Linked DNA regions of Callithrix jacchus. The protein of the gene in region 2 interacts with the protein of the main gene of each other region in a pairwise test. Links are inferred from orthologs where the notes say so. Each region holds a gene or a part of one and is shown on either strand. Other genes may lie near its edges.

Evidence for each region.
Region 1: the proteins of CREB3 (region 2) and SLC30A2 interact in binary tests that used the Homo sapiens proteins (3 or more experiments, as listed by UniProt). The two-hybrid records come from large-scale screens. The link is inferred for Callithrix jacchus from reciprocal best matches to the Homo sapiens genes CREB3 and SLC30A2.
Region 3: the proteins of CREB3 (region 2) and FIS1 interact in a two-hybrid assay, tested with the Homo sapiens proteins (2 studies listed by BioGRID and IntAct). The two-hybrid records come from large-scale screens. The link is inferred for Callithrix jacchus from reciprocal best matches to the Homo sapiens genes CREB3 and FIS1.
Region 4: the proteins of CREB3 (region 2) and GJA1 interact in binary tests that used the Homo sapiens proteins (3 or more experiments, as listed by UniProt). The two-hybrid records come from large-scale screens. The link is inferred for Callithrix jacchus from reciprocal best matches to the Homo sapiens genes CREB3 and GJA1.
Region 5: the proteins of CREB3 (region 2) and SFT2D2 interact in a two-hybrid assay, tested with the Homo sapiens proteins (2 studies listed by BioGRID and IntAct). The two-hybrid records come from large-scale screens. The link is inferred for Callithrix jacchus from reciprocal best matches to the Homo sapiens genes CREB3 and SFT2D2.
Region 6: the proteins of CREB3 (region 2) and BIK interact in a two-hybrid assay, tested with the Homo sapiens proteins (2 studies listed by BioGRID and IntAct). The two-hybrid records come from large-scale screens. The link is inferred for Callithrix jacchus from reciprocal best matches to the Homo sapiens genes CREB3 and BIK.

Annotation. Positions count from the first base shown.
Region 1 is NC_133508.1:62,692,650-62,696,694, forward strand, and holds the start of SLC30A2 (proton-coupled zinc antiporter SLC30A2), read right to left. Parts: upstream 2,801-4,045; 5' UTR 2,609-2,800; coding exon 2,559-2,608; intron 1,908-2,558; coding exon 1,687-1,907; intron 1,128-1,686; coding exon 981-1,127; intron 1-980.
Region 2 is NC_133502.1:142,636,854-142,641,006, reverse strand, and holds the start of CREB3 (cyclic AMP-responsive element-binding protein 3), read right to left. Parts: upstream 2,801-4,153; 5' UTR 2,611-2,800; coding exon 2,476-2,610; intron 2,383-2,475; coding exon 2,235-2,382; intron 2,164-2,234; coding exon 2,096-2,163; intron 1,983-2,095; coding exon 1,893-1,982; intron 261-1,892; coding exon 154-260; intron 73-153; coding exon 4-72; intron 1-3. UniProt on the Homo sapiens protein: Endoplasmic reticulum (ER)-bound sequence-specific transcription factor that directly binds DNA and activates transcription. Plays a role in the unfolded protein response (UPR), promoting cell survival versus ER stress-induced apoptotic cell death.
Region 3 is NC_133503.1:12,515,255-12,519,392, reverse strand, and holds the start of FIS1 (mitochondrial fission 1 protein), read right to left. Parts: upstream 2,801-4,138; 5' UTR 2,723-2,800; coding exon 2,678-2,722; intron 1,873-2,677; coding exon 1,740-1,872; intron 1-1,739. UniProt on the Homo sapiens protein: Involved in the fragmentation of the mitochondrial network and its perinuclear clustering. Plays a minor role in the recruitment and association of the fission mediator dynamin-related protein 1 (DNM1L) to the mitochondrial surface and mitochondrial fission.
Region 4 is NC_133505.1:127,878,274-127,882,337, forward strand, and holds the start of GJA1 (gap junction alpha-1 protein), read left to right. Parts: upstream 1-1,264; 5' UTR 1,265-1,337; intron 1,338-4,064. UniProt on the Homo sapiens protein: Gap junction protein that acts as a regulator of bladder capacity. A gap junction consists of a cluster of closely packed pairs of transmembrane channels, the connexons, through which materials of low MW diffuse from one cell to a neighboring cell.
Region 5 is NC_133519.1:34,101,385-34,105,322, forward strand, and holds the start of SFT2D2 (vesicle transport protein SFT2B), read right to left. Parts: upstream 2,801-3,938; 5' UTR 2,729-2,800; coding exon 2,666-2,728; intron 1-2,665. UniProt on the Homo sapiens protein: May be involved in fusion of retrograde transport vesicles derived from an endocytic compartment with the Golgi complex.
Region 6 is NC_133502.1:188,655,043-188,659,024, forward strand, and holds the start of BIK (bcl-2-interacting killer), read right to left. Parts: upstream 2,801-3,982; 5' UTR 2,613-2,800; intron 1,682-2,612; exon of another isoform or gene 1,604-1,681; intron 1-1,603.

The DNA of each region.
Region 1 (4,045 bases), on a different chromosome or scaffold from region 2:
CACCCACCCCCAACACAAAGTCAAGGCCTGGGTCCCACTGGGCTCTGCTGAAGCTATGGCTGGCATAGCTGCTCCTTACCCCACCACTCTATATTTGGGAATGTCAGAGCTAGAAGGAACTAGTAAGTCATCATCTGGGTCCACCTTTTTTATTGTACATATGAAGAAACTGGCTTATTAAAATATATGCCTTTTGTCCAGCTAGTAAACTGAGGCTTCTGGGTAAGAGAGGCTGGGCCATCTCCCAAAAAGAGGAAGATGACGACGCAGCCCCAAGAGAACAGAAGAGAGGTTAGAACCTATACCTTCCAGCAGGCTTTGCTGGCCTTCCCCTCCCCCCAGAGCTGATCCACAGATTTATATGCAGTGTTAATGCCATTGTCATTTGTTCTTGAAGCTTGGCTACTGCGCTTCTTTTTTTTTTTTTTTTTTGAGATGGAGGCTCGCTCTGTGGCCAGGCTGGAGTGCAGTAGCATGATCTCGGCTCACCGTAACCTCCATCTCCCGGGTTCAAGCGATTCTCCTTCATCAGCCTCCTGAGTAGCTGAGACTACAGGTGTGCGCTACCACGCCCAGTTAATTTTTGTATTTTTAGTAGAGATGGGGTTTCACCATGTTGGCCAGGATGGTCTTGATCTCTTGACCTGGTAATCTGACCCTCTCCGCCTCCCAAACTGCTGGGATTACAGGCATGAGCCACTGTGCCCGTCCCACTACTGCACTTCTTAGGACAGTGAACTTTGCTTCCCTGCAGACTGAGAGCTCCTGGATGACAGAAACCAGGGCTCCCCGTAAGACTGGAATTTACCAGAGGACAGAGGCCATGGTTGATATTCTCTTCCCCCATCCCCCATCCAGATTACCCTCCTGGCCTCACTTGGGGGAGGAATGGGGGATCCACCCATTATAGCTACCTAAGAACCCCTGTTCTAACTCACCCTCTCTCTCAACCCCATATCCAGCCAAACTGCAATCCTCACCAGCTCTCTGCCAGCCAAAGTTCATGGTCTTGGTGGCTGGCCGGGAGGACATCCAGAGGGAGAAGAGGCTGATGAGCATGCTGGCAAAGTCAGTGAGCAGGTGTGCTGCGTCGGTCATGACAGCCAAGCTGTGTGCCAGGTACCCACCTGCAGGGGCAGGGCCAGAGGGTGCAGGGTCCTTATCAGCTCCCCAGAGACCTGGCTTCCCAGACTGTGTGTGCAGCAGGGAGACCACAGGCTCTGGAAAAAGCCATGCTGAGTTCAGGATCTCTCCACCCATGAGCTGTACAACCATGAGCAAGCAACCTACTCTCTCTCAGCCTCAACTTCCACTCCCTGTGAAAAGGGCCACCAACATCTTAGAGGGTGGATGTGCACATCAAGTTCACATAGGGACTGGAAAGCAGAGTAGGTATTCAGTAAATGCTCTTTCCTTCTAGGAATTCAGGCCTTCCCTTAGCTACTAGCTGTGTATAATCTTTGCAAGTTACTTAACTGAACATGCCTTGGTTTCATGGTCTGTAAAATAAGAAAAAACGTCACCCATGTAATAACACAGGTTGTTGTTAGCCCTGCATCAGCTAATGTGTACACAAAGGCTTGGCATGGTGAGTGTTCAGTAAGAGGGGCTATTAGCGTCAGTATTGCTGGGAATATCCAGTCTATCCATGCACCTACTTCATTTAATTAGCCCAAAAGTACTTACCTATGACTTCTCCGATCATGAACACCAGGCAGATGGCAGAGGCTATGTAGAGCTGGCGCCGGGCCTGCCCCTTCTTGGGGTCACAGTCACTGCTAGGACTCTTCGGAGCATGGCAGTAATGATTGCTCTCCACAGCCAGCTCAATGGCCTGCAAGTCCAGACCAGGTCGGGACAGAGGGATCCAGCCAGCCCCCTCCTGCCACAGAGATCCCATGTATGGCCTGGCCAGAGAGTAAGAGAGGGGGCATGCTCAGCTCTGAGATGGGGCAAGGAGGGCGGCCTCTGGTCCCATTTCTCTGTGAGGCCTGTGTCCACTGGGAAAAATAGCTAAGGACACTCTAAGTTGACAATCCCTGAGGAGTGACCAGAGGTGAGAAGCCTGTGTTCAGACGGGGATGCTAAGGGAATGGGAGTGTTGGGGTCCTGGTCCCGGGGTGTTCCTTCTCCTCAATCCCTTCAGAGGCCAGAGGAGGAGAAGACCCTGGGAACCGGCCAAGGGGCGTGCAGTCCAGTGGAGCACGGGGAAGGAACAGAGTGCAGGCTCTGGGAGAAGAGCAGGCCCCCCTCCAACAGGGCCTCCCCAGGGCGGGACTGCCTGGGGCAAAGTGCTGGGCGGGGCGGGATTCCAGGCAGGGGAACCGCCACTCACCCGACCCCAGGCTCCCCGCGGGCAGGGGTCAGGATCTGTGCTGGGCCCCAGGGGACCTTGGGCCACAGCCCTCACCTCATCCACCCTTCCCTCACCTCACCCCACCCTTCCTACGTGGCCCCAGCTCAAGCCGCCGCCAAAACGAACCACTGCTAGGATGGCAAGCGCGGAGGTGCGTCGGCTGCCGCCCAAATTCCCGCCTGGCTCCAGGCTTTCGTCGTACCGGACTACGGGCCTGGCGTCCAACAGGTGCTGCTTCTCCGTGGCCTCCATGCTGCCCCGCGCCGGGTAGCGGCAGCGCCGCGGCCGCCCGCCGAGTGCGCCCTGGAAGTTGCGCGCGGGACTCCGGGTGGCGCTCACCCGCGAGCTGCGCTTTCTCCGACTCGGCCCCTGCGGTCCCCCGGCTGCAGTTGCGGCTGCTGCTCCGGCTCTGGCTCCGCGCGCCTAGCGCCCCAGGTCTCAGGTACGCCGCTGAGCCCCGCGGCCGCCGACTTTATCCGGGCCTCGCCACCCCGTGTGAAGCGGCCCGCGGCGCGTCGTGTGCAAAAGCCCCCGGGGAAGGGGCGGGGTGGCCGGCTGCAAAAGGCGCCGGGCTGCGGCCCCGCGCACCGGTGCCTGCGTCCTTGGGGCACGTGGAGCCCACCTGCGGGTCGCGAGAAGCCTGCCAGCCTTCGCCAGGCGCGGCGCCCGGTGTTGCTGAGTGAGAACGGGGTGACGGCTGCGCTTCCTCTCCCGCGCAGAGTGGGCCGCGTTCCCACAGAAAGGTTCTCGACCTTGGTTTGTAGAAATCCTCTTTGGTGGTCCCAATGACAGGACTGTGGCTCCTTGCCTCGGAAGAGGGTCTCCAGAGACTCCTGGGGCCGCGTCTGCCCCCTCCGACTGGCGGCTGCCCTGGGCTTGATCATGTTCCCCTCTCAGGCCGGAGACTACCGAGGTCGGCTTGCGTTCCTGCCCTCCCGCTAGGAGGGTCCTGGGGTGGGCTGTGCCGCCCTCAGGCTGGGACCAGTGTTTCTCCCTAGCATCGGCTGGGACTGATCAACCATCCTCGCCACTGAAGCAGCGCCAGCTCCTCTCCTGTGTGCTCTGATTAGAATCTGGAGTGACGGCAGGGCCCCGTGGCTCACGCCTGTAATCCCAGCACTTTGGGAGGCCGAGGCGGGTGGATCACGAGGTCAAGAGATCGAGACCATCCTGGTCAACATGGTGAAACCCCGTCTCTACTAAAAATACAAAAAATTAGCTGGGCATGGTGGCGCGTGCTTGTAATCCCAGCTACTCGGGAGGCTGAGGCAGGAGAATTGCCTGAACCCAGGAGGCGAAGGTTGCGGTGAGCCGAGATTGCGCCATTGCACTCCAGCCTGGGTAACAAGAGCGAAACTCCGTCTCAAAAACAAAACAAAACAAAACAAAACAGCTGGAGTTACCGGCTTTATCTCCATCCGCACAGAGAACAGTGTCAACGGCAGTCGCCATAGAGGCAGAGCCGACCACCGCCACGGCGGCCACCCCTTCTCCCCTCCCCCCAGGGGCCGACCAGCAAGCCTGGGAAATGCAGGCAGAAGGTGCCACCGTGTTGGTACCGCTGGGAGAAGCCCTGTCCCTCCTGGCAAGCTTGGTGCCCCACCCACTTGAAGCAGCCTCCTTACCCTGGGGTTCTTGGAGATTGGGGGGGCCTGTGGCCCCTAGCTGGCCTCTGACAGGTGTCCTCTG
Region 2 (4,153 bases):
TACAAATTCTGTTCCTCCAGAAGCTGTACTTTGTTCTGAAGCTCCATATTCTGGGCTGTGTATTTCAAGACCCTGGGGGAAATAAAGATATGGGTATATGACCTGTATCCTCCCTTCAAAAATCTAACAACTGAGTCTCTCTCCCTTTCATACCTGCTCTCTAAACCCCCAACATACACCTTCTTCTTCCTGCGGCTCTCTTGAGCAGATCTTTTATTTCGAATCTTCCTTCGCACACGTTTCAGAATTTGTTCCTCCATCTGAAAGCAAACAGGGAAAGGGATACCATGAGAGGGACTCTAGACCAAGGAGTTGAAAGGCAACTGAGATCAATCTCTTTCCAATGCAGAAATCTCTTCTACAGCTTCTCTGACCAATAGGCATTCAGTTTCTTTCTGAATGCCTCCACGGACCAGGTGTTAACCCTAACAAGCCAGACCATTTTAAACAATTAAAAAAAAAAATTGGTCAGGCAATATGCAGCCAACGTGGCTTATGCCTGTAATCCCAATACCTTAGGGAGCTAAGGCAGGAGGACTGCTTGAGCCCAGGAGTTTGAGACCAGCCTGAACAACATATTGAAATCTTGTCTCTACTAAAAATAAAAAATTAGCTGGGTGTGGTAGCACACACCTGTGGTCCCACTACTCAGGAGGCTGAGGCAGGAGGATGGCTTGAGCCTGAGAGGTCAAAGCTGTAGTGAGCCATGATCTTGCCACTATACTCCAACCTGGGCAATAAAGAAAGAACCTGTCTTTAAACAAAACTTTCTTATCCTGAACCAACAGCTGCCTCCTTATAATTTCTATCCATTAGACTTACCTAGTATTTCTGGGGCCAAATAGAATGAACTGTGTTAGCTATTTTAAGGCACTTAACATTTCCTCAGAGCTTAAAAAAAAGAAAAAAAAACTTACACAAAATTTTTAACATCATCTTAGGATAGCCTGCATCCTCTTAATATCTGTCAAAGATGGTCTCAAAATTGGACATTAAGATGTGCTCTACCCAGTATAAAGGAAAGCAAGAGAGTCACTTATAGAGGCAATAACTCTATTGCTACAGTCTCCAAATTCCATTCACTTTCCTAGTAGCCACATCACACTGCCGATTCATCTTGTACTTTGAAGAAATTAAAATTCTGCACTTTGGTAGCTCCAGGTGGGTAGATCACTTGAGCCCAGGAGTTCAAGACCAGCCTGGCAACAAGGTAAAACTCCATCTCTACTAAAAATACCAGAAAAGATTTTGCTGAGCAGGGTAGTATGCACCTGTAGTCTCAGCTACTTGGGAGGCTGAGGTGGGAGAATCACCTAAGCCCAGAAAGTCAAAGCTGCAGTTAGCCATGATCACACCACTGTACTTCAGCCTGGGCAACAGAGCAAGACCCTGTCAAAAAGAAAAAATTCCTGTAACCTTTTTATTAATGAGCACTGATTTCATCATAGTATCACAGTACTCTGCTTGTGAAGTTGCTGCTCATTGCTTAAAACTTAAAACTCAGGATTTTACATTTATTCATGTCCTGCTTAGTCCACCCCTGTTGAACTCTAAACATTTTTACCATTCAGCAAGAGGTAGACTACTATCAAGCCAATGAAGTGTCAAGGCCCTTCACTTACACAGTCCTTTCCAAGGCCCAATACTAAGTTACATTGATGATTTTTTTTTTAGGCAGAACACCAAAATTTGTATAAGTAAGCCCAACAAATACGAGTATCTGCCCTTGCATCTAGCACATTAGGTACCTGCCCCAACTTCTTATTAGCAACAAATCTGCTAATTTTCTCAACTCAATCCTTTTTTAAAGTTATTGATATAAAGTTAACAAAACTGGCCTACTTGGGACTCTTACTCCCTTTCAGCCTTTGCTCAACCAATGAGAGTCTTACCTTAGTGAGAGGAAGTGTCTCAGGCAGAATAAGCCCCTCCTTCTCCAATAGACTCTTCTCCTCATCTGTCAGTACCAACCTAACAGTCTCCTAGGGTAACAAGAAAGTGGGCAGCAGTTGCATGGGGATGTCAGAGAGGAATGGGGAATCCTGCCCCACCTGGGGAATGTGAGAGTAATCTTCCTGAAAATCAAGTCAAGTACCTGCTCTGCCATTTCCTCCACATGCTGTGTAGTCATCTGGGTCTCCTCTTTTCCAAAGCTCTCACTCTCTGCAAAAGGGAAAGTATGAATAGCCAGGCCCATGAATCCTCTCCTCCCAGCAAACTTACTTCAGACTCACCTAGATCAACAGAGACAGCTTCCTGTGGGAGGGAGTAGGTGTGGTCGTGGTGGACAAGGCAGGGGTTGGAGGAGCTGAGAACGTTCAACGATGCTGGGGGACTCAGCAGTGAGCTCAGCAAATCATCTAACTCCCAGTCACTCGGTACCTGCGCAGGGTTCCAATGAACAGGCCTTGACCTATAACCATCACCTGACCTCATGGACATCCCACGCTTTCCCCAGTCGCAATCCCAACCCACCTCAGAAAGCAGCAGCTCCCAGTCCAGTGGGGCCCTGATGGCCTCGTGCGCCGTCCCCAAATCTCCACTTGCCTCTAGCAGGAAGCCCAGCAGGTCTTCGTCACCAGGATCCAATTCTAGCTCCATTTGAGACATCTACGTAAAGGGTGGGCCACGGGGCCCCAACGTCCGAAGCCCAGACACGAGTCCCAGATCAGCTGTCGGCCTTTGGCACTTTTCCACCGCCCCTCTACGGCCGGGCTTCCCCGCCGGGGCTATCCGTAGCCCTCTCCGGACCCACCTCCCAGGCTCAATTCTCCTCAGCCTCCAACACAGCGAAAGTGACGCACCCGGCCCCGTGGCATTCTGGGACTTGGAGTTCTCTCCAACTGGAAGGCGGCCTGGGTGCCGCGCCACGTCCCAAGGGCTATGCAAATACAGGGGACGGCCCTGCCGTCGCCTCGCACCCCGAGGGCGGAGGCTCCGGGGCTCCGGCTCCGCCTTCTCCCCCAGGCTGGAAAAATTAAGAGTTCAGGCCTAAAAGGAAGCTCAGGCGTCATCCGGGCGTCGTCTCAGCATTGCGCCGTACCCTCGCTTCCTGCCGGGGAGTGGCTGCCGGGCTTCGGCGGCTCCTGAGCATCGAGACCGGGGCCAGAGCAGCTTCCTGCCGGCCCCACGACCATAGAGCGCGAGCCCAGGGCGCCGCCCGCGGGTGGGGGACGTTCCTGGGACGGAAGTGGCCGAGGGAGTGTCGAAGGGAAGGCGAGGCCGGAGCCAGAGGGCGACCCGAGAAGCCTCAGGGCTGCGGGCCGGCGGGCAGGGCGCAGAGCCAGGCAGCGCAGGTAGGTTGGACCGGACCGGGCTGGGCCGGGCGGGGGCCTTAGGGTGGGGCCGCGGAACCTGGCCCTGGTGGCGGGCAGGCGGGGCCCTGCCTCTCCTTCGTGTCCGGTTCGGGTCCTATTAGTAGGAGAGGTCAGGGTCCAGCGCATCTCGACCTGGGCTTGGCGTGAAGTAGGCCGTCTTAGGGGAGACAGACCTTTCCTCGGAGCAGTCCTCTGCCTGGGATAGGCGTTGGGGAGCGTGAGGAGTCGGGTGGCAGCGGGGCGCAGGGCGGGGACGGGCTTTGGTGTTAGCTGATAGCGGGCATGTGGGTAGGAAAGCTTTGGGTGAGTTGCAGATTAGGTGGGATCGGTTTAGGAATGAGGGGTCGCTGTAGGAGTTAAAAGCTGGAGTTAAAACTTGAGTCAGTGTGAGTCAGGTCCGTTTTGGATAGGTAAGGTTTAGATTAAGGTCATTATTTTGTTTACTGGCATGGCCAGCATTCGTCATAATTTGAGTTCAGGATCGGGTTAAGGGTCAACAACAGGAATCAGGTTAGAAATCTGTTTGGGGGATTAAAGAACGTTGGCATGCTCACTATTAAGAATAAACAGTGAAAGGGTGAGTTAGGAATCAGTTTACAAATGAACTTTAGGCTTTGGGGTCAACATTTAGGGTTAACATCAGGGGATTTGGTGCTAAAGGTAAAACGTAGATCAGTGTTAGGGTTCAGGGATTGAATATGGGTCTTTGCTAGGAAAGAGATGAATGTCCAAGCCAGTACTGGGAATCAGAAAACAAATTAGAGGTGGGGTTAGTATTAGGAATTTGAGGCAGCTTTAGGGGTTGTGGTTTGAGGCTAGCATAGTTGACCTTGAGC
Region 3 (4,138 bases), on a different chromosome or scaffold from region 2:
ATTAGCCTCCCAAAGTACTGAGATTACAGGCTTGAGCCACAAAGCCTGGCCCCACTTGACTTTCTTTTTCTCTTTTTATTTTTTAGACAAGAGTCTTGCTCTGTTGCCCAGAGCAGAGTGCAGTGGCATGATCTCCGCTCACTGCAACCTCCCCCTCCTGGGTTCAAGGGATTCTCTTGCCTCAGCCTCCTGAGTAGCTGGGATTACAGGTGCAAGCCACCATGCCCAGTTAATTTTTGTATTTTTAGTAGAGACAGGGTTTCACCATGTTAGCCAGACTGGTCTCAAACCCCAACCTCATGATCTGCCCACCTCGGCCTCTGAAACTGTTGGGATTACAGGCGTGAGCCACCTGGCCCCACCTGACCTTAGTTCAGAGGCCTCCCAGAGGATAACTGTACTCTATGCACTAGGATTTGTTGCCAAATAGTTTTGCAGGTGTTTATAAATCTTCCTAAGTGTCTGTACTGTCGCCCCAACTAGAGTGGCAACACCTGGAGAGGCCGTTTCTTCTACTGCTACACCCTGCTGCAGAATAAACCTGAAAATCTCAATTGTGAAAGTAGACAAACATGCGGTGAAATTATTTGTATCTTTTAAGAAAGAGTCTTATCTTTATAGATTTTCAATAGGCATCCTTTGCTAGCACATCAGCGTTCTGTATTCATGGATTCAACGAACCACGGATCAAAAATACTCAGGAAAACGGAAGGTAGTTGCATCTGTACTGAACATGAACAGACCTTTCTTCTGGCCATTATTCCCTAAACAATACAGTATACTATTTACACAGCATTGACTTTGTACTTGGTATTATCAGTAATCTACAGATGATGTAGTATATGGGGGAAGATGTGTAAGTTACATGTAACACCACAAACTTGGGTGGCTATTGGTATCTGTGGGGGTGGAGTTCCTAGAACCCATCCCCCACGGATACAGAGGGATGGTTGTATACTGTGTGCTTATAAATTATTACTTGAACGAAAGAAAGGAGCTATAGAGAAATTAAGTGGTTAAGTATTGTGGCCTCTGACAAATGTTGACCCAATCCAAAAAGCACTATCTGGCCGCATGCAGTGGCTCAGGCCTGTAATCCCAGCACTTTGGGAGACTAGGGTGGGCGGATCACCTGAGGTCAGGAGTGGGAGACCAGCCTGGCCAACATGGTGAAACTCTTGTCTACTAAAAATACAAAAATTAGCCGGGTGTGGTGGCGGGCCCGCTTGAACCGGGAGGTGGAGGTTGCAGTGGGCCGGGATAGCACCACGGCACTCCAGCCTGAGAGACAGAGCAAGACTCTGTCTCAAACAAAAACAAAAAACAAAAAGCACTGTCTGTTCACAAATTTGTGGGACAGTCCTCTGTACCTCTTCCACGCCACTAAAGATTCTCAGTAGCTGCGAACTAAGCAACAAGGTGCTGGTGTTGGGGGGACGGGCATGGGCCTGGGTCTCTCAAAACTGGAGCTTCTATTCCCAATTCAGCCATTAATTGATTAGCTGCATGACTTCAAGGCGCTTTCCCAGATCAACATAGTCTTGGGGGAACTGGCAGGCTAGGACTCTGTCTGGCAAAACAATGGTGGGTGGTAAGCAGCCAAAAGTTTAGTGGGAGAGGTCAGCCTTGCTGCAGTAAATCTACCGGAGACAACTGCAAGGTTCCTGGCCTACAGGGCCCACGTCGTACAGCAGCCCCGATGGCAGCGGGAAGGGGAGTTAGGTCGCCCGGCGCCTCACCCTCGAGCAGCGCGACGCCTTTGAGGATGTCATCATTGTACTTGCTCCGCACCAGGCACCAGGCGTACTCAAACTGCGTGCTCTTGGACACCGAGCCTGCTGCCTTCTCAGACTGAAATTTCCTTTCAAACTTCTGCCACAGGGGAGCAAAGGAATCATTTAGACATGAAGGGCGTCAACCATTCTCTATCTGGACGTGGTGTCGGTCACACCCCATCTCCCTGGCCCTGCCCCCTTTCCCTCGCCGGTCTCGGTATCTGGCACCCCAGCTTCTGCTATCGCCGGGCCCCGGACCCAGGCTTTCGGCTCCTCCAGGCCCCTGGTCTCCCCTCCCCACCGGCGGTAGCGAGCGGAGATGCCACCTGGTGGCAGCGCCAGGCACCGCTCCCGGAGCAGCTGACCCGACGGTCGAACAGTAAACACCCTGTCAGAACTGCTCAACAACAGCCCACGCGGTCCTCTTCTGAGGCTGCTGGCCCCATCTTGCCCCATTCTGCCGGGCCTGGACCTTTTAATGTCCAGGAATAGAAGCAGTGCCTACCTCCTAGAGCTACAAAGAAAGACTGAGATCTGGAATGCGCTGCCTTAGCACCGTGCGGAACACAATAATACGTGACACCTTATGATGGTCACTGTATTCTACCACCGCTGCAGGAGCGCCCTGACTTCACAGCAGGATTCCACAGCCCGGCAGTCTAACCACTCGGAGCTTCAGGGCCGCAGTGTGTGGTGTGGGGGCTCAGGACACTACAACCCCCAGGAGCCTCTGCGGCATAGCGGGCCCTTCGGCAGGAGACAGGCGCTACGGAGGCTGCCGGGAGTCGTAGTTCGGCTTCCCTCGGCCAAGCTGATGCCGGGAGGAGGGTTCGGCCAGCTACCTGACTCTCCTCAGGACCCGCCCTCCGACCTTCCCTTTCCCTGTCCGGGCCAGGCCTCACCAACAGGTCCTCCACAGACACCAGCTCGTTCAGCACGGCCTCCATGGCCACTGCCCCCGCGAGCCTTACACCACAATCTACTGTGACACAGTCTCCATGGTCCAGTGGCAGGGGCGGAGAGCCACTTCCGGCGTCTGGCGGATGCGGACCCGACTTGGCGACGCCCCGCCCCTTCCTCCGGCTCAGCGGCGCGGGCGGGGCGCTAGCGCGCAGGCTCAGCCGACATCTCCAGCCAGCAGAATGCGCTCAGGGAGACCTTCCTCAAGTGGGTGTTCCTCAGTACCCCAGCCGGTGCCTCCCCGCTTGGAGGCTCCCCTAGGGAAGCCGGAGGCTATGTCTTAGCGGTTAGCCCCCAGGATGAAAAGAGCAAACAGAGCTGAGGGTGGAGATCACATCACATTAGGTGCCAAGCTGACACACCGCAGAAATATAGGACCTTGGAGGCCACGTGACTTTTTACCGCCTGCAACAAAATCGTAATTAGAACCCAGGGCCGGGCACGTGGCTGCCACAGGGGAGCATCAACACCTTGGGAGGCCGAGGCGGGAAGATCGCTAGAGCCCAGGAGTTCAAGACCAGCCTGGGCAACAAAGAGAGACCCCCCCATCACTACAATTTTTTTTAAAAAATTAACCACCGTGGTGCCCTGCACCTGTACTCCCAGCTACTAGGGCGGCGGAGGCAGGTGGATCACTTGAGCCCAGGAATTCAAGGCTTCAGTGAGTTATCACGCCACTGCACTCACTCCAGCTTGGGCGACAGAGACCTTGTCGGAAGAGAAAGGTTCGGACACCTCTGTTTCTGTGCAGAGAGGGGACTGGATAGGTAGAAACTTTCAAATCCTTTTTTTTTTTTTTTTTTGAGGTGTAGTCTCACTCTGCCGCCCAGGCTGCAGTGCAGTGGCACGATCTTGGCTCATTGCAACCTCCACTTTCTGAGTTCAAGCAGTTCTTTTGCCTCAGGCTCCGGAGTAGCTGGGATTACAGGCACCCATCACCATGCCTGGCTATTTTTTGTATTTTTAGTAGATGGGGTTTCACCATGTTAGCTAGGCTGGTCTCAAACTTGACCTCAGATGATCCGCCTTCCTCGACCTCCCAAAGTGCTGGGATTACAGGCGTGAGCTACTGTGCCCAGCCAAGCCTCTAATATTTTTCTTCTCATGAGAGTATCGTGAGTTAGAAAGGCAAGAGTTATTCTTCCCTATTTAGCCTGGATGGTTGAAATGACTGATACGGTGAGCTCTGTAAGCCTTGAGAGGATCCCCAGGTTGGGGAACTGGGTCCTTGATGCCCATTAATTAGCATAAACCTGAAGGAGAAAACCTCACGTCCATTCAGAGATGTATAGAGCACCTAATTTTGGCTGGGCCTTGGGGTAGGCACAGAGGATAAAAAGATGGACACTAGGGCCTTGTGTGGTGGCTCACACCTGTAATCTCAGCACTTTGGGAGGCTGAGG
Region 4 (4,064 bases), on a different chromosome or scaffold from region 2:
ATGAGTTTGCTTTCCATCCAGAGAATATGGCCAAGAGATTTCCTGCCCAACCTCAGGAGCATCACTGAAGCCGATTTATGAGGAATTGTCCTACCACAACACTCTGCTATGGCATCTGGGAAGCCCTCAAAGCAGCTGCCTGCCTTAAGAACGAGGCCACATGACTCAGGTCATTATAAACCCTAAAGCTGAGCCCTGAAGAGGGAGAGCATTGAAAGGGGTAGGGAAGCACAGAAAAATGATCTGCCCACTCTGCTGTCACTGGGCAGAAAACTCTAGTGGGCTTGAGAAGGGGAAGTGATCTTAAGGAGGGCGGAATAGTTTGGGAACCTACTTAAGGCAACCATAGTCTGTGTTTTTAAAATCCTGACATTTCACTACAGATTTGCGTTTTAGTATTTTGGAATAAAGAGGGCTGAAATATAAAATCTTAGTTTTCTGGAAGTCAGATATCGAGATTTCATAGGCAAACAAAACATGCTATGTATGTAAAACACACACACACATACTCACACACAGCCTTTTGCTAAACTGAATGAAAGGGTAAAAGTTCAAAGCAATGAAGGGGAGGAAAGATGGATTGGGTATGGACTTTTCTTCATCTACCTCGATTTTTGAAATGTCTCTCTCCCTTCCCCACCATTTCCTTTGTTAATTGCCCTTATTTAAATTTAAAGAAAGGGAATTAGATTATCAAACAGGTCACTCACACCTACCTGTAGCTTGGTCAGTGTGAAACAAGCTGGAACTGGTTATATGCTTCCCTGCTATTTTTATTTATATTGTAAACCACTTTAAAAATTTTAGACAATGTTATAATAAAAATATACACTATTTCCCCCCATCATCCCTGGTCTTTTGGTGAAGCCAGCACAATAATCAATGATTCTTATGTGTGAGGAGCAACTCCAAGTGGAGGTATTCATGTCCCTAATGCTATTTTACTTTTTCTCATCAGCAAATTTAAACTACGACTTTATCCTGATCCCGCTCCTGCTCTTTGCCTCTTCTCCCCCCACCCTTTCACGTTCACCAGCCTCCTCCCCACCTCCTCCCCGCCTTTCCCTTTGCCCTCCCCTTTCTTCTAGCCCCTCCTCCCAGTTGAGTCAGTGGCTTGAAACTTTTAAAAGCTCTGTGCTCCAAGTTACAAAAAAGCTTTTACGAGGTATCAGCACTTTTCTTTCATTAGGGGGAAGGCGTGAGGAAAGTACCAAACAGCAGCAGAGTTTTAAACTTTAAATAGACAGGTCTCAGTGCCTGAACTGGCCTTTTCCTTTTACTTCATCCTCCAAGGAGTTCAATCACTTGGCGTGACTTCACTTCTTTTAAGCAAAAGAGTAAGTTTTTTAAAAAATGAGAACACTTTACCTAGTAGTTTCTTTTTCTACAAGTAAAACTTTTCTAAAGTTTTAAAATGTATTAAATGTAGCTTTGAATTATGATACTGTAAATGGACTGATGAATTTGAAGGTGTTTCTATAGTTTTAAAGTTAAAATTTGTTGGACGGAATGTATATTTTGACTGTTACAAAAGTTTCTATTAATATTGCAACAGGTAAAAGGTTCAAACCTTTAAGATTAGAATAAAGGACTAGTTTACTGGATGTTTGGTTCTTCGTTTTAGAGAATAATTTATTTTTTTAATAATCAGTAATAGTCTAGGTGCTATCATTTGTTGGGGTGGGGGGGAGCGGTTAGAAGCCTGGGTTGGGGGATTTGACTGATTACATCGCAAAAACCCAAGTGCAAATTTGCTTAGCGTGCTTCCTATAGTATTCTACACTTCATAAAGTGCATTTTTCATATGGGAATCTTGATTGAGGTTCTATAGCTTTGCAGAGCCAACTTCTTTTGTGACAAAGTGCTTTGTTAAAACATCGTGGTTACTTGACTTCCACGTGGTTCCTTCCTATAATTTTTCCATTCAACAAAAAGGTATCAAATTCAAGAGTATTAATACTACCTTTGAAAATCAATAGTAAATTGTTACTTTGTGTTAGCCACCGCTATGGAAAGTTTCGAGACCCTCAGGAGACACTGCTTTTATTCGACCACGCTGGCAGTTTAGGAGATGAAGTCTCTTCAATGGGTGGTGGTTAGTTACAGAGCATTAGAGGAGATCAGACGTTTACAAGAGTGTACGCCAGGGTGCTTTTCCAAAACCGTCCCCTAAAACGGGAGCTCCTAGAAAGAGCAGGGGAAAAACTTTCTTAAACGGCGCTTTAGAGGGATCTACCCACCCCCAGCCCCGCCGCCCCGCACCTTCCCTCTACCCGAACCTGCAACACAGTTCAGAACTCCGGGGCAGTTCTTTGGAGTTGGAGCTCCTAGGGCAAAGATAACGCGAATGTGTTGCTTTAAAGGATTCAGTATTTAAAATACTTTTATTGCTAACACACATTTTGTTCAGCAGAATGCAACCATGCATTTTTTGTGCCCGGTAAAGATTTTTTGTTCTGTGTAAATCTACAGACTAAAATAATTAGCTTAGATTCTTGACGTGACCCTGCAGTGGAAGTGTCTGCACCCGTGAATGCTGAAAAGCAAATAAAAATGAAAGCTTTGCGGAGGCCCGAGGCCGTGGGCCGGACGGGCGCGGGGCGCCTCCTGCCATCTTAGCGTCTGCCGGGCTCCCTCCCGCGCCTTCCTGCCCGAACCAGCGCGGTTTGGGGACGTTTCCCTCCAATCCTCACTAGTCAAACCGAGCGCAGGTCCGAGTTCCGTCACTGCGAAGGAACCCGGGGCGCGGGGTGGGAGGGATGGGAGGAGAGATGGGCTGGGTGCCAAATGGTAGAAGAGCAAATGGTTGATTTAATTAAAGTTGTCAATCTAATTTCCCATCCCTCTCACCCCAGTGGCATTTTTTTTTTTTCTCTGAAACTTGCTGAATCCCACTATCTCCGCGTTGGTAAAACCTGAATACCTTGGGAATTATCGTGCTTAAATGGCACTTGCAACTCTCCTGGTCCTGGAAGTTCCTGAAACTTCCCTAGAACGAGGCGGGGCGGCGCGGGGGAAAGGGCGGGGAGGAGAGACCCTCGGGGAGTTGATGACGCATCCCGGACGAGTCAGCCCGTTTCCTAGACGCGCGCCTCCCGCTCGGAGCTGCGCAGCGCCCACCCTGCCCCTTTCTTGACCCGGGCGACTTTGGCTGGGCGTTTCTGATAACGCTCATCAGTAAGCTCTCCTTGCGCCTAAAAGGCGTGCTTTTCTTTCTCTCCGGGTACAAAGTGGGGGTGGGAAGGGGAGAGGTACATGGTGTTGTAGAAAGAAGCGTGGCTTTATTTGGAGGTGGGTTTAATTTCTCTTGCTTCCCGGACCCAGTTAGTAATGACGAGAAGGATACTGAATCTCGCCCTCCGAAAATCGGGCGCATTTGACCTCGGTGAAAAGAGTCCCTGTGAGGAAGTCCAATGTTTACTTTTGTGCCAGGGTCGCTGGAAATTGAAGCGTCTGGTAATGCAAAGATTTCATTAACTATCCGCCCCCCCCCGACCCCCACACACAGTAAATAAGCCAGTTAGAAAACACCTTTGGAAGAAGAGTAATTACTTCTAGGTAGGCCGAATTGACTGGAAATTATACCAAGCAGAGGCAGTACATTCCGTCCTGGCGATGTGTTGATTCTATATTATTAGCAAATGTTCCCCCAGTGTGGGGGTGCTTTGCACTTCCCAAAGTCAGCGTAGACTGGTTACCTGTCCTCTGCTGGGAAAATGCAGTGCTAGTGCTTTGCTCCTACTTTCTTCACTGTTTAAACATGCTCCACATTTTTCTAATGCCTTCTGAGGGCTCTCACCCCAGCCACTGAGTTCCTTCACCCTTGGGGATTCTGATACCTACAGTGCTCCCACCCTGCTTGGGAAACGTGGTTCCAAAGATGCTCCCCAGGAGGTAGATAAAAGGCTGTGCTTGCAGATAACTGAAGGTTGCTTTGTTACTTAGATGGTTCAAATTCCTGCATCAAGGAGGGAAAACACTGGGTGCATTCTTTCTTTTCTTTTCTCTAATTCCAGGGGTGTAACTTGGTTTGAGCCTTTGTATATGATGCCCGCAGGGAAGGG
Region 5 (3,938 bases), on a different chromosome or scaffold from region 2:
GTGCAGGCGATGTGCTCACAAGGAGTCTGCCTGGCAGTTATTCACAAGGTCGCTTTCACTCTGCGATGTGGAGAGAAGAGGGGCTCTTACCAAGAAGTAAAACTAATTGTTCAGAAAAACAGGACTGGTGACCATAAGGAGGTGAGAAAGGAATACTGCTTCATTTCCACACTTTAAAATCAGATACTATTCACACCTTTCTTGTCCCAGAATCCTTTATAAAAAACATAAAACCTATACTTTCAGAAAAAAGTCCAGTGAAACTAAAGATTTAAGGTGTATTTATGAAGATGAGGTATCAATTAGGAAATTCATCATGAGGCTATAATTAGATGCTGCCATGAAAAGTTTATAACTACCTAGGAGAGGTAGAAGAAATAGAACTAGTCATACCTTTATGGTTTGCATTAAAGGAATAAAAAGTGTAAAAAGCACTCTTCTAGTGTCCTCTTAAAGAGATTTTTAAGAGCACCTAAGAATTCAACTAACCATACAAAGAGCAATTTCCTCACAGAATCCACCAGTTTTGGCAGCCCCCAAACCACGAAAAATGTGAGACAATCAAATAAATCAGTACCAATATTTTAAGGGAGGTTCTGACCTAATCAGTAAAAACTAAAGTAAAAAGCATGGAAGAGGAAGTCAGTCAGCAACAAAACATTTCCCAGGAATTCAAGACTCTGGAAGTACCATACAATGGTATTATAAACAGAAATGTCACTCAGAAAGAGGAAGCTGACCAAAGTATTTGAGAACAAGAATGAGCACCTATTCTTTTTCAAACAGATCCAACAGGTGCCTGAGCATAACGCATTAAAGCCCTTCTCATAATATCCAACACAGGCATTCACCGTTTTAGGTTACAAACAAGCTCCGCATTTATGTTTGCAAACTTCGCTAGCTGTGGGCCCAGTACTTCGTGATGATTTTTGAGACAATAATACCGGCATCATCCCACTGTCAACACCCCACCTCCCAAGAGTCTGCAGGGAGAGAAAGTATCTCCTCTTAAGCACCAACTGTTCATAAAGGCTTGCTGACAGTCAATGGAAATAAAGCTTTAAATAGCAAGGGTCAGCAACCTACAAGTCAGACCTTTCTTAGGCCCAGTCTGAGGTTCCACTTGAGATTCATAATAGAGGCTAGAAATCAAGAAAAAAGAACCCGTGAAATTAATCCTGGGCCTTCACCAATTAACAAAGGCAACAAATTAAAAACAAACCACCAACTTGTTTTGAAATGTCAACAAGTTAAACTTCAGTGCCTCCAACATTTGATCCCATAGCATTACTCCCTCCAGGTAATTCAGAGAGCAAGTTTGACATTCTGAGATGTGATGGAGAAAGTATAATTACCAGTATCACACAAAACAAAACAAATCAGCAACCACAAACGAGGGTGAAAGCAGCTTGCTGAGAAACCCAGAAGAAATACTGATTAAAGTGAGAGGGAAACTCCAGTTTCCAGTTGAAAGAGGCCATATCATCTTGTTCAATACCCGCATTTCACGGAGGGTATGGAACGGAGGCTGAAGAATACTCCAAAAAGTGAAGAGAAACGTTATTTTGTCATCTGAAAAGGAAAACAATAGACAAAAGCATCCAAAATAGAAATGCATCATTCTGTGTGGTTCTACAACTTAGGACATTAGCGGCCAGGTTTCAGCACTATCAAAACTTTTCTAATAGGCCAAGCGCGATGGCTCACACCTGTGATCCCAGCACTTCGGGAGGCCGAGGCGAGCGGGATCACTTGAGGTCAGGGGCTCGAGACCAGCTTGCCAACATAGTGAAACCCTCGTCTCTAGTAAAAATACAAAAATTAGCCTGGCTTGGTGGCAGGTGGCTGTAATCCCAGCTACTTGGGAGACTGAGGTGGGAGAATCGCTTGAACCTAGGAGGTGGAGGCTGCAGTAAGCCGAGATCGCAGCTGCACTCCAGCCTGGGCAACAGTGAGACTCCTTCTCCAAAAAAACAAAAGAAAGAAAATATTTTCTAATAAAACAAATCAACACGCAGGCAGTCTCCTGAGGCGCTGGGTGTCTAGAGTCTAGGTGTGGGCACAGGGACACAGAGACACAATACGTGATCCCTGCCCTCATAGGGTGGAGGCAGTTTTACAATCACGAGGCGATGTGCACAGGGCCGGGTGGGAGTGTCACACTCTACAACTAAACCGGGCAGAAAACCAAGGCAGAGCTTGGGTCGCGGTTACCAACCACGTCGCGAGATGGGGACCGCCACCCCAACACCCCAGCCCTGGTCCAGCGCCCCGACCCACCCAGCAAGGGCTCCTTCCTCCAGCCCTGCCCGGTCCTAAAGCGCATTCCCCGGCTGGTAGGGCTGGGGCCGACCTCCGGGACACCTGCCCTCCCACTCGCAGGTCAGTCCCGGGATTTCCTCCTGCCCGGCCCTCTGTCGGGGAGGATGGGCAGAAGGAAGGGACGTGGGGCAGAAGGAAGGGGCGCGGGGCAGAAAAGGACGCGGCGGCCGAAGGCCCACTGCAGCCCCGGGGCTCCTCGCGTAGCCGTGCTGGAGAAGAGGAGGAGAAGGGGCAGAGCCGCCATCCAGAAATTCCTGCAAGTCCCAGCAGGCTTCCCAGGCCCGGGCGGGGAACGCAGGGCGGGAGCGCGGCGAGAGAGGGCCGAGTTCCCGGGTTCACTCACCTCGGACAGGCCGCTCCGGTCCTCCGTGTCCTGCCCGCTCAGCACCTTCTTCAGCTTGTCCATTGCGGCCCAGTCCCCACCGGCTCCGGCCCCTCCGCGGCCGCCTGTTGCGCTAGCTAAGTTGCTGGCTCTTCCGGGTGCTCTGCAGCCGCCAGGATGCCAACCGCGGCGCGCCCCGCCCAGGCACCTGCCCACCTGGGGGCGCCCGGCATGCCTCGCGCCGGCCTTCGCGGGCGTGTTTTGGTCCCGGGAGGCGGGTCAGGCCAGAGGGGCTGGGATTGAAGTCCACCAGGCGTTGCCAAACACTAATTCGGCGTCCGGCACTGTGTTCCAAACCGGAACGGGCCGCGCTCCCTCGCCCTGTTGCCTGTTGTTCCGGGCAACAAACGAGCCGCATCTACCACGTGCAAGGCTCTGGAGTAACAAAGACAGCGAAGGAGCCTCGTGCAGGCGGGAGCAAAGGCTGTGGTTCATCCACGTTGCGATCGCGCTTACACTGGAAAAGTTTTTTGTTTTTCGTTTTCTGTTTTTGAGACGGAGTTTCGCTCTTGTTGCCCAGGCTGGAGTGCGGTGGTGCCATCTCAGCTCACCGCAACCTCTGCCTCCCGGGTTCAAGCAATTCTCTGGCCTCAGCCTCTCGAGTAGCTGGGATTACAGGCATGTGCCACCACGCCCCGCTAATTTTGTATTTTTAGCAGAGACGGAATTTCTCCATGTTGGTCAGGCTGGTCTCGAACTCGTGACCTCAGGTGATCCGCTCCCAAAATGCTGGGATTCCAGGCATGAGCCACGGCGCCCAGCCAAGAGTTACTGTTTCCTTTTTCAGTCACTCAAGGCATTAGCCTGGTGTGGTGGGGCATGCCTGTAAACCCAGCTACTCAGGAGGCTGAGGCAGGAGGTTCACGAGCCAAGGAGTTCCAGGCTGTAGTGAACTATGATCAGGATACTGCACTCCAGCTTCGGTGACAGAGCAGAGCGAGACTCTGTCTCAAAAAAAAAAAAAAATGACTGAAGGAATATGGAAAGGAATAAAAGATTGTTGTTAAACTGTACAATAGTTTGTTTTACTGACCTCAAAAAAACTGAAAATAGACTGGGCATGGTGGCCATGTCTGTATTCCCAGCACTTATGGGAAAATGGCTTGCGCCCAGGAGTTCTAGACCAACTTGGGCAACATAAGGAGACCTCATCTCTGCAAAATAGTTTTAAAACTTAGCCAGGCATGGTGGTGGGCCCCTGTAGTCCAAGCTACTTGCAAGGCTGAGGAGGAAG
Region 6 (3,982 bases), about 46 Mb from region 2:
ACAGGCTTTAGTCAAATGTGTCAGAATCTGTCTTAATGTCCTTACGATGACAAAAAAAGGTCCAGGCATGACGGCTCACGCCTGTAATCCCAGAGTAGCTGGGACTACAGGCATGTGCCACACACAACACCCGGTTAATTTTTTGTATTTTTAGTAGAAACCGGGTTTCACCATGTTAGCCAGGCTGGTCTAGAACCCCTAACCTCAGGTGATCCACTTGCCTCCGCCTCCCAAAGTGATGGGATTACAGGCGTGAGCCACCTCGCCCAGCCAGCAGGAGTATTTAAACACCCAAACGGTGCCATTTACTGAGAACTTATTCTAATGGTATCCCCTAAGTAGAAATCGCGGTAACTCCAGGGAGGCCACTAACTTGAATGTGGCTTTCTTCACCCCCAGCCAGAAACCTCAGGGAGACGTTTCTGCAGAATGGACAGAACAAACTGACTTTGGAGAGACGGAGTAGCCCTTCAGAGGCCGCAGGGCTCTCGGACAGTGGAAAAAGGTTTTGGCTTGGCTTCCCATAAACGGCCCTTGGCTTCCAGCTGGACAACTCTGGCATTTCTGTGCCTCCTGGGACTGAAGTGTTTCTCCACCTGGAAAATGAGGCCTCCTGCTCCCAGGGGGAGATAGAATTTAAGACCTTCCCGAAGCCATTGCCCACCCTAATGTGGGAAGATGAGGCTGACACCAACCCTCCCTGGCCACAGTAAACACCGCATCAGCAACAAAAATGTTACAACATTAAGAGCAGCAGCAGCAACAACAACGTCCTGCCCCCTGAGTGGCTCGTTGTAGCAAAACTGAGAACAATTAACGGCTTGAAAGTGATGGCATTTAGGAGGTCAGAGCCCAGATGACAACCAGCTCCAAACCCCTAATCCTTGTCACGACGGCGCCCCGCAGGCGGAGGAACCCCTCTAGGGTCACCCGCAGGGGCGCACCCCCAGTTTACCGACAAGGTCCCACGCCCCAGCCGGGCTCTCGCCCCCGCCCCGCCCGGAGCGCACCTGTGCAGGGCGCATGGGGCAGGTGCGGGCGAGCGGCTGCGCGCCGCTCCGCCTGCACGTTCCTGTTCCGGACTTTCTGGGCGTCCCGTTACGAAGCCTTTCCTCGGCCTGTCCTCAGGTGCGCAGTGCCCCGGGGAGCCCAGTCCCGGCGGGAACAGGTGCCCGACGCCATCTTCCCTCTTTTAAGGACACCTGGGCTGTGCGACCGCGACCGTGGGCTGGCGGTGCCGCGCTGCGCTCTGGCCGGGTCCGCACGACTACAGAGGTCGGAGCCTGGTCCCCGAAAGCCGCGCTCGAGGACTGTGAGGGGGACGATGGGGCTCCCGGCCTTCGGGGCGAGACGCAGAAGGACCACCCATTGCACAGACGCGGGGACTGAGGGCCGCGCCTGGCACCATGCATGTCCGGGACGTGTCGGAGCCGGAGTCCCGGGACGTAGCCCCGCAAGGGACTCGTCCGCGACTTGCCGGAGCAGAAAGACCGGGCATGGGTCCTCAAATTTTCAGCCGCTCGGCACCCGGGGCCGCGGCCTAGGCGCTAATCGCGGGGCTGGAGTCGGGGAGGGGGAGCGGCAGCAGGGTCGGGGTACTCACCTGGCGGCGGCGGCGGCGGCGGCGGCGGCGGCGGCGATGATAGCAGAGTCTGCGACCCAGCAGAGAGGCGTCGTGTCTGCGGCCCGGGGACCCGCGCGGGACCTAATGGACCGGGACGCCCCGCCCCGCCCGGGTCCCGCCCCGCGCCGCCCCGCCCCGGGAGCTGCCTCTCGCACCCCGAGCGCGGAATGCTGGACTGGGGTCTGAATGGCATTAGCAACAGAACCGCTACAAGTGCGGCCGGTTGGCTTGTTTACGGCCTCTCTGCCCCCTGCTGTTCTGCAAACTTGCTTTGTCTCGTGCGTCGCTGTTTTCCCTGCGCCCGAGACGGGCGCGCACTCAGGGGTTTCCATGAATACCCGGGGTCGATCCCTTGCCAGAATCTGGGTGTATAATCTAAGCCCTTTACACGGATGGCTTCCCTTCGAGCTCAAAGTACTCCTAAGGGCTCGGTGCTGTTTTTCACGATTTTACCCGCATGGGAACCGAGGCTCCAAGAGGACGAAATGACTTGCTGAATGACCGCGTGAAGCCAACGCTTGAAAACGTGTGTTCCTTAGGCAGCTCTGGGACTTAGGTGTTTGGTTTTGTTTTGCTTTGGGACGGACTCTCAGCCACCCACTCTGGAGAGCAATGGCACGACCTCTGCCTCCCGGGTTCAAGCGATTCCCTTGTCTCAACCTCCGGAGTAGCTGGGACTATAGGCGCGCGCCACCACGCCTGGCTAATTTTTTGTGTTTTAGTAGAGATGGGGTTTCACCCCGTTAGCCAGGATAGTCTCAATCTCCTGACCTGGTGATCGGCCTGCCTCAGCCTCCCAAATGCTGGGATTACAAGCCACCGCGCCGGGCCAAGAGATTTAGGTATTTTTAAGCCTATTTCACGAATACGAAAACCGAAGTTCACACTTGGGTTAGCAGCAGTGCTCCAGACCCCAAGCCGGTGGGCTTCCCCTCCACTCCCCTCCCTCCGCAGTCTTCCAGCAGCACCCACACACCCACTGCCTTACCCCTCCGGTCTCGGGCTCCCGGACAGCAAGAGCGGGGCGGGACCGGGAGAGAATTGGGGGCAGGGGGCCCACCGGCAGACCTGCTGAGACGGACCCCAGAGACCCACCAAGGAGAGATAAATCAGAAAGGTTCCGGGAGGGGTGGGGGGCGGCAGCCTGCCCCGCGGGGACGGGTAGTGCCTAACTGCGCCCTGGGGCATATTGGGGGTGGGAGAAGAGGAGGCTCCTGGAATAACAAAGTAACGATTGTCCTGATCACAACAAAGCTTGTTTACGCGTGTCCTGATCCTCTTAGAGATCGGGGGAGGGGCAGGAGCCGGGGCTCCCCTCCCCGGACCATCTCCTCCCCCAGCTCTGTCGTTGCTACCTGTTGGGCACCCTCACTGCTCTTCCTACCTCTAGGGTCATTACTTCCCCCTCAGTGTTCTCATCTGTGAAATGGACAACAGCACCTACCAAGAGCTGGGCTGTTGGGAGGAACAGAGGAGGTAAAGCCTGATAAGGTCTTCAGGGTCCCTCCCTCCTGCTGGGCCTTGGACCTTCTCTGCTTTTGTAGTCTTTGCTTCTAGGGCGTCCAAACCACATCAACTCCCAGCGCTACAAAGCAGCTCACCCTGACTGTGGATAACAGCCACAGGGTGCCTTACAGTCAGGAGTGGGAAACCCTTAATTATGGGGCTTCCCTCTGAGTGCATTTTGCAGATGAAGAAATTGAGACTCAGGGAGGTAAAGCAATGACACAGCATCTCTTGGGTCCAAAAGACCTTGTATGTGTGAGATGTTTGCAGAGGGGTCTTGAGGCTGCAGGCACAGGGCCAGGCATGTGGATGTTCAGTAAACAGCAGAACAGATGGAGAATGAAGGACAGTTTGGGGACGCTTTGAATGATTCAAGGGCAAAGTGGGTGAAAATACAGTACTTATTTACTTTGCAAAATCACAAGATAATATGCTGATCAAGGCTGGGCGCGGTGGCTCACGCCCATAATCACAGCACTTTGGGAGGCCGAGGCGGGTGGATCACAAGGTCAAGTGATCGAGACCATCCTGGTCAACATCGTGAAACCCCGTCTCTACTAAAAATTAGCTGGGCACAGTGGCACGTGCCTGAAGTCCCAGCTACTTGAGAGGGTGAGGCAGGAGAATTGCCTGAACCCAGGAGGCGGAGGTTTCAGTGAACCGAGATGGCGCCATTGCACTCCAGTCTGGGTAACAAGAGCGAAACTCCATCTCAAAAAAAAAAAAAAAGATAATATGCTGATCAAAAAGAGGAAGAGATGGCCAGGCATGGTGGCTGTAACCCCAGCACTTTGGGAGGCCAAGGTGGATCACCTGAAGTCAGGTGTTTGAGACCAGCCTGGCCAACAAGGC